Linked DNA regions of Cricetulus griseus. The protein of the gene in region 2 purifies or fractionates together with the protein of the main gene of each other region. This does not show direct contact. Links are inferred from orthologs where the notes say so. Each region holds a gene or a part of one and is shown on either strand. Other genes may lie near its edges.

Region 1 (4,131 bases), about 31 Mb from region 2:
GCATTCAAATTCAAATAGACCCACAATCTTGCTAACACAAGTTACAATTCTTTACCTTCATTCTCAGCTCGTCCCACAGAAGAACAATGCCAACATAAATTGAACTTTGGCAAAATGCTTTAAAAAGTACACAAATACTAAACACAAAAGGCCTTAATGTGGAAACATCTTTCTAGGGGCTGAGACTAGCTCAGCAGTTAAGAGCACTTGCTGCTCTTGCAGAGTTCAGTTCCCAGCACCCAAGTTGGGTGGCTCACAATTGCCAAGAGATACATACAATACCCTTTTCTGGCCTTTGGAGGCACCTGCACACATGCATACATTCAAATACATTCATATACCTTCATAATGCAGTAAGTAACCCTTTCATATAGTTCCTCACATTGCAGTGACCCCAACCATGAAATCACTTTGTTGACCCAAGGGGTCGAAACCCATGGTTGACAACCACTAATGTAGGCATACTGTAATGGCTATTTCTTGGTTGTCATCTTAACTATACAGGGTGCACACCTGTGAGAGATTTTCTTAATTTGAAGGGGGTAGATCTACTTTGAAAGAACATCTTTGAGGTAGAAAGACACACCTTTAATTCAGATCTGTAATTTAGATCGATTATGGGCCACACCTTCTGCTAGAAGCCTATATAAGGACACTGAAGAAGGAAACTTTTGTTCTCTGCCTGTTTGCCCTCGCCTTGTTGGCAAGCCCATTCCTTCACTGGCATTAGAGCCCACTTATTCAGGATTCCAGAATATAATGAAGACTGGCTGAGACAGCCAGCCTCAAGGACTGAGCGACTCCTGACTTTCCATTCATAGCCAGCCATTATTGGGTTAGCTGAGCCACAGTCTGTAAGACATTCTCATAAATCCCTTTTCTGTACATACAGAAGTTCTTTAACTCTACAGAACCCTGACTAATGCACATATATACGAACATACAGATACACATACATAAAAATAAATAAACTTTTTAAAAATGCCTGCCTTTCTTCTCGAACTGACAAGGTAAAAAAAAAAATGACAAATAACTGAGTTCTACCAATTACTATCTAATAAACATAGTTACCAAATAATACTCCTCATTCTAATACTCTCATGATTCAACTTGGGAGCCAAAGAGCTACCATTGGCACCTCAGGCTCCTCACAGCCAAAAGAACGAACTCAGTACAAACTCCATGCTCTGCATCTGAACCTGAACCCAATCTCTCCCAGGTTCATCATCCTATTTCCATCTCCACCAAGCCCTGTGAGCCTCATGAGTTGACATACCCAGCACTATCATGAAACTTCCCTAACTTGTCCAGTGAATTCCTATCCATCCACCAACCTCTTATTGAACCTCATTTGTGAAGCATTCTTGATTTTCTTTGGGAACATAATCTCATCCCTTCTAGACTGCTACTGCTTAGTCTATACTTTCTTTTTGTTATTGTTATTATTATTATTATTTTGTTTTTTCCAGACAGGGTCTACAAAGCGACTCACTCCTTTTACAGAACTTACCAGAAACTGCCTCATGTAACAGTCATGGGTACCCATGCTGAACTCCTTCGTTATGTTACTAGATCCTTGAAATCATGGCTTCATTCAGTCACTTCTGCATCCTTCACAGCTTCTACACACAATAAATGGCAGGCAGGTTTTACTCTCGTTGTGTGCGTTTCTGTGTCACTAAGTTTGCATTTTCCTTCTGCTTCTCCCACAAATCTGCATTTGGGAAACCAACTGGGAAGCGGACATTTTTCACTGACTCCTGCATCATGTATTGACCCAATACACATGAGGCACTGTCCCGAGCTCTGTAGACAAATATGGCACACAAACCTGCAAGGCTCAAGGATCTCAAAACCCGTAAACAAATGCTTAAATAATAATAAAATATCTCCAACATTACAAAAAGAAAAATTCAATTTGATAAACACAAGAAAATAAGGGTGTAAAGTGTCCAAGATAACAAAAAGGAATATACTGAAGCTAGAGGTGGGCAACAGTCAGGGTAATTAACACCTCTGAACAAAGTAAAACTGGAATGGAACACTCACTACCAGACCACCCTGGGCGTTTCTACAGTCAGAAAAGCTAAAAAATACTGAACCATTGTATTATGGATGCAAAGTTCAATTCAAGTCAATGAATTCAATGTAAATGGAAAATGCCTATTCCTGGGCTGCCGTTTAAAAGCAGGGAAACCGAGGGAGCTATTCTGAACACTATACAGTCCGGAACGTCAATGGACACATGGAGTTTCAAGGTGTGACTACATACAAGTCAACTGAGACCCCGCACGTTGCCATGGCTGAGCCCTGAAGCCCGGCCTCCTCCTGGCGGATGCTCAATTGCCCGTTCGCTGGTTTGCATCTCCCGCCAGCCTGCGAGGTAAGCGCGGGACTCCGGGACTCGCCGCCCCTCCCGCCCCGGGTGGCCCCGGGCCTGGGCCGTAGCTTGAGCTCCACAAACAGACGAAAGGCGCCCACCCCATCCCTCTCCTGCGTTTCTGTGGGATCTGTAGCTAGGGTAGCTCTTTCTCCCTCGGCGGCAGATCTGTTCCGAGGCCGCCAGACCCAACTCCCGGGATCACTTCGCCCAGCCCTGGATGCTCTCTCTCCAAACACCCACCAAGCGCCCCCGTTTACCTACAGAGAGTCCCCGGGTCGCCGCCAGAGCCAAGCCTGGTTACTACAACAGCCTCCACGGCACAGGCGCCGCCCGCGCCTCCGGAACAGGAAACACCGGGAATTAAAAAGCAAACCTGAAAAAGAGGAGCCTAGGGAGGGAAAACTCTGCGGTGCACAGCGCAGCACCTTTGGCGCCGTGATTGGCGGGTCAGCTAGAGTGACGGACACCTAGACCAATCGACACTGCCTATCGTTCTCACACCCGCCCCCCCACATTGACGTCCTCCAATCCGGAAGCGCAACCGGGTGAGCGCGCGTTTCCGCCGCGAAAGGGCAGTGGGGCGCGCGGTTTGGAGATGCCGGGTGCTTCTCCGGGTTTCTCTGGGTCACCGCGGCCTGAGTCGCGTGAAGACATGAGTGACCCCGGAGGCGACCACACGCGCCTCAGGCGCTACCCCAGGCTCCCGGTGTGGGTGGTGGAGGATCACCAGGAGGTGAGCCGGCAGCAGGCGCCCCCGAGCCATGACAGGAGGGATTCGAACCCTGGCGACCTGCAGAGCCTTGACCAGCATCTGACGCTGGCTGCCCGCCTGTCTCCTGCCAACGAATCATTCTGCTGTGTGATGAGAGGGTTGGCCAAGAACGTGCACCTTCGGCTGTGAAATGGGGACCATAGTTGTAGATCCTGTTATAGAGCTGTAACTGGGGTCTAAATCTTCAGGCTTTGTTAACGTTTGGCAGTGCTGTGGTAACGTGGGTACCTTACGTAGACTTCTGGTTGACGGCCAGTGAGGTCCATGGGTGTAGGAGACTTGGTCTAGATGAAGCTCAGTGGTACAGTGTTTGCCACAGACCTTGGGTTCAACCCCTCCTCCCAGGCAAAAGTGGGGCAAGGGGACTTACTGATGGAACAAGAGGAAAAGAAAGTCAACAAATTTGAAAGTCTGTGCTTTCAAATTTAGCAGTAAACCTGGACAGATAGGGTGAAGGAGTCATCCAGCCTAGCTTCACCATCCTAAAGGGACACAAAATGTCCTAAAGCTCATTTAGTGCTGGAGTGAGTGGTTCTGGGTGATAAAGACGGAGATATTCATCAGAGCCATCTACAGTAAAGAAATTTTATATAACAACATGGTTCTTCAAGTTTGTGCAGTTATTTATTTATTTATTTATTTGAGTCTGCACTTGACAATGTGAATTTCTCAGTGTGTCCGCGTCTCTGTTACAGGTTCTGCCTTTCATATACCGGGCCATTGGTTCGAAGCATCTTCCTGCCAGTAATATACGCTTTTTACATTTTGACTCACATCCAGACCTCCTCATCCCTGTGAATATGCCAGCAGACACTGTGTTTGATAAGGAAGCACTCTTTGGGTAACGCGATATTTTTTCATCATATTTTATGTATTTGAAATATAAGATGTAGCAGATAATAAAGCAATAGACTTTGCCACACTCATGTTTGGGTTTTTTTTTTTATTTGTTTGTTTGCCTTTTTTATTTTGTTTA
Region 2 (4,127 bases):
TATCTCATGTGACAGAGAAAAGGCATGTGAAGTGATGGTTTCTGGAAAGCCCTTTTGAAAGACCATTCATCTTACTATAATCTCAATGTCCAGCATAGATTCTGGACCTGACAAGGCTTGAATTCTAAGTCTGAAACTTACTATGTATATGTACTCTGGGAACAAACTTTACTTCTTTGAACCTTAGTTTTCTATGCAGAGGACAGCACTGCCACTGACTTATCCATTTAGCAAAATCACTGGCTACCAACCCCAGTGTAGTTTTTTAAGTGGTACTAGAGATTCTGCAATAGAATAAAACCAAGTTTGTGGACTTAGCCAACTTCCCCCACTTGCTGTGGCAAGCACTTCTCAATGATCTGCAAACTACCAGGACATAAGGAACTAGCGTTCACCTTTAGTGTATTCAAAAGAACCAGAACAAAGAGTTGTAATCCTTTCCTCTCTAGCCTTCATCTTTCTTTTCTTTTTTGAGATAGGGTTTTCCTGTGTAGCTTTGTAGAAGAGGCTGGCCTCGAACTCAAGAGATCAACCTGTCTCTGCCTCCCGAGTGCTGGGATCAAAGGCGTGCGCCACCACTGCCTGGCCTTATGTCTTTTTTTTTTTTTTAATACCCTTTACAATAAACAGGTAAGTCAAACAAGAATACAGATACAGCCACTTGCATGAAAATAGAAACTAATTGTTCCTAGAATAATCCAAATATCACCCTTATCTGCCTTACTATGTAAAAGTAGAGGGCTTTATTTTGATGATATTCAAATAGGACATTTTAAAATCTCATTTCCTTATTCCCTGTCAAACACTACAGACTCAGAAAATTCAGTGATAGCTACTTTGAAGAATTTCAATTTCGAGACCAGCCAGTTTGGGGAGAGGTGGGGCAAAATCTACAATCTAAAACCCTCTTCTGTCACTGTCTGGTGTAGTAGTAGGTCTACACTTGTGATCCTACAACTTGGACACTGAAACGAGGCACATTCTAGGCCAAATGGGGCAGATTAAGACACACATTGGATATTTCATTCAGTAGGCAGAACTGAAGTAACTTATTCATATCACTGCTGAACCAACACAACAGAAAAACATATAGAGCCAAGTACCCCCATCAGCCCCCTTTCCAAAGGCCCTGACTTTCAGTTCAATCAGTGAAAGAGCTTCTGAGTTGGCCATTCCACTCCACTTGCAAAATTCTCAGCACAATTTTCAAACACCCAAGAAATAGAAAGCCAGGTTTTTTCAGTCTTGCAAAAATGGCCCAAACCCAATTTTAAGAGTTTTTTTTTTTTTTAGCCTAACTCAATTGAGTTTAATGTGGCACCTATTCTTGCTGTAATCTAGTACTGCTTCAATCTTTCTTTCTTTCTTTTTTTTCTAGACAGGGTTTCTCTGTGTAGCCCTGGCTGTCCTGGAACTCACTCTGTAGACCACGCTGGCCTCAAACTCACAGAGATCTGCCTGCCTCTGCCTCCCAACTGGTGGTAATCAAAGGTACACGGCATCTCAGGCTGGCTAACGCTGCTTGAATCTTGATCAAGAAAAAGATTAAGCTTCTAAAATTAAGATACCTTTACAAACCTAACTAAATTTTCTTTCCTTCTACAAGCAACCCCACACCTAGTACTTTGGAAACCATTCCCTTACTTTGACACAAAACCCACCGTAGCCCAGGCAGGCCTGGGTAACCAAGCTCCTGCTTTGATCTCTAGTGATGGGACCACTGGCCTGGACCACCTCAAGAGGTTCTCTTGGTTTCAATAGCTTTGTTACTTAAGACTTTTTCTTTCTCCCTTTGAGGCAGGGTCTCACTATGTAGCTGTGGCTGTCCTGGAACTCATAATGTAGAACTCACAAGAGATCTACCCATCTCTACCTCCTCAGTGCTGGGATTAGAGGTGAGCACAACCTCAAACAGCCAAGACTTTATTGCATCCAAATATAAAGCACCCGAAGTTTATCTAGATGTGAATTGTTTCTTTTATCTAGGAGTCAGGAACAATGTTGGCATACAGCTTTTAGGCGTACTGATTCCTGGGCAAAATTCAAGAATTTTTCTAGCAACAAAACACTAAGCTTCCTGATTGTGTATGTGTGTGTATATACATACATACATATATATGTATATATATTTTTTCATCCCCTAGCTTAGGCCTTAAGGTTAATTCTGCAGTAGAATTGGATCCTTAAGAGGCAATAAATAAAAATGTCGCCTGCACTTCTGGATCTCTCAACTCCAATGTGTTTCCAATGAACCAAAATATGACCGAAGAGGAGTTAAGACCTCATTTACAATCAGAAAAGGCCTTTTCGACTGCAGTCCCGCTAAAGGGGATGCCTGGAGACATAACGGAAAGGAAACCATCCGGGTTCTTTCCGGACAGACACTGCGGCGTGCAGGGACCAGATGAGCTGCAAGGCCAAGCGAGGCGACACGACTGGCCTGCCACCTCCGAGCCACGACGGCAGTGCGCAGAGGGGCCCGCCCGGGCCCGAGGCCCGCGCACCGCCGCCATTGTACGTCGCGAGCCGCGGGCTACCCCGCCCCCCGCCTGCACCTCCCCCTTACCCTCCACGGTCTCGGTCCCGGTCCCGGTCCCCAAAGCCGCCTCCGCGCATGGTCCCAAACGGGTAAAGATCTGGGAGCGGGGCACGGATGGCCGAGCTGGGGAGGGCCTGCGGCTCCGGTCTAGTGACGACCGATGGTGGCGGCGCCTCCGCTGTTGGGGCGGCGGCAGGCGCGGCGCTCTCTCGCTCCGACGCGCTGTCTCCCGTCGCAGACGCCACCGTCGCCGCCTCTCTCGTCGGAGACGGTAGCAAAACACAGAGAATCGGGGTTGTTAGTGCAGTGGGGAGATTTGGTCACGCTCAAACCGGGCGGTGCCACGGTTTAGGCGTCTCCTTTCCTTCCCAGCGACTGCACAAAATGGCGGCGGCGCTGAGACTGCTCCAACTTAACGCTACGCACGGCCGAGACGCTACGTAAACAGCGTCTGGAGGAGCCCGAGGGCTCGGCTCGGTGCTATAGACATTCTAGGAAGCGTTTTACGTCCGTGACGGAGATGGGTGCCCTTGGCGGTCCACCTAAATAAGGCAGTGTACGTAACTGGCGTACCGTTCTCGCGCCGCCAACTCTAGAACGTGGGCTGGGGGTGGGGCGCGCCTCCGGCGCAACGTAACATTGTTTGCGTGGTTGGCCGGCCCACTATTACGATGATGCGCAGTCTTCGTAGCGCATTCTGTTTAGAGAATAGACTTTTCCCAGCATTCCGAGCTCAAACGGCACTTGAGGCTGGCCTTGTGCAGACACAATAGCTGCCCTCCATGTTGTCTGGTCAGGTTTCGGGGGTCTGTGGTATAGAATCTGAGTGGCCTTGGCCCCTCGCCTCGCCGCCCCGGGTTCGCCAAGCTAGGAGCGCATGCCAGCGCCATTTTCTTCCGTTGCTTTTCGCCTAGCTGGCGCCGCAGCCATGTTGGATGCGTCGCGCCGCTCTCTTTACCCGGCCACAGCTCAACAGGGTTAAAAGACGCCCTGTGTTTCCCTCAGTAACGTGCGTTTCCCGAACAGACTTTTGTCACCGTTCCTGCTGGGCGCAGTTGGCGCGCTCACACAGAGGCCACCCTTCCTGAGGTGGGCGCCGATGGCCTCGCTCGGTTCCGCGACTGCAGAAACCCAGTCGGGGGAAGGCAGGCCAGGCTAGGCTGCGGGCGCCTCCCAACTCCCAGATTACTTTCTTTTGCTTGCCATCCCTGCGCACTGCCAAGCCACACAAGCTTGGCCATATTTGATTTACAGAATTGTGAATCTGCTGCGTCCTTGATACCTCTGGTCTTATTTCTACAGATGCGGAGAAGGGAGTCTGTCAGCTTGGAGGCTGTGTTGTCGTCTCCTGTTCTGAGTGTTGCCCAGATTATTGGAAAGCCAGGAAAGTAAAGGAGCCTCATTTGTCACTTCAGCCATAGATTGAGAAAGTCGTGGAGAGCCAGGCTTTGTGCTAGTTGCCTGAATGCTTGGGGAACCAACATATTCCTTGGCTCAGAATTTGTAGAGAGGGAGTCAGATGACCAATGTTTGTTAGACAGTTGCTAACTTGGAAAAAGAAAATGGAGGGATGGGGGGGTGGAGGCCA

Evidence for each region. Proteins that work in one complex are often made in the same cells at the same time.
Region 1: the proteins of Ddx17 (region 2) and Drosha purify together in Homo sapiens (co-immunoprecipitation; 3 studies listed by IntAct, with this or other methods). This does not show direct contact. The link is inferred for Cricetulus griseus from reciprocal best matches to the Homo sapiens genes DDX17 and DROSHA.

Annotation. Positions count from the first base shown.
Region 1 is NC_048595.1:345,840,778-345,844,908, reverse strand, and holds the start of Drosha (ribonuclease 3), read right to left. Parts: upstream 2,801-4,131; 5' UTR 2,645-2,800; exon of another isoform or gene 2,641-2,644; intron 1,733-2,640; exon of another isoform or gene 1,623-1,732; 5' UTR 1,511-1,622; intron 1-1,510. Other genes in the region: C2H5orf22 (UPF0489 protein C5orf22 homolog), read left to right, coding at 2,979-3,116, 3,851-3,996. UniProt on the Homo sapiens protein: Ribonuclease III double-stranded (ds) RNA-specific endoribonuclease that is involved in the initial step of microRNA (miRNA) biogenesis.
Region 2 is NC_048595.1:376,715,317-376,719,443, forward strand, and holds the start of Ddx17 (probable ATP-dependent RNA helicase DDX17), read right to left. Parts: upstream 2,827-4,127; 5' UTR 2,617-2,826; coding exon 2,567-2,616; intron 1-2,566. UniProt on the Homo sapiens protein: As an RNA helicase, unwinds RNA and alters RNA structures through ATP binding and hydrolysis.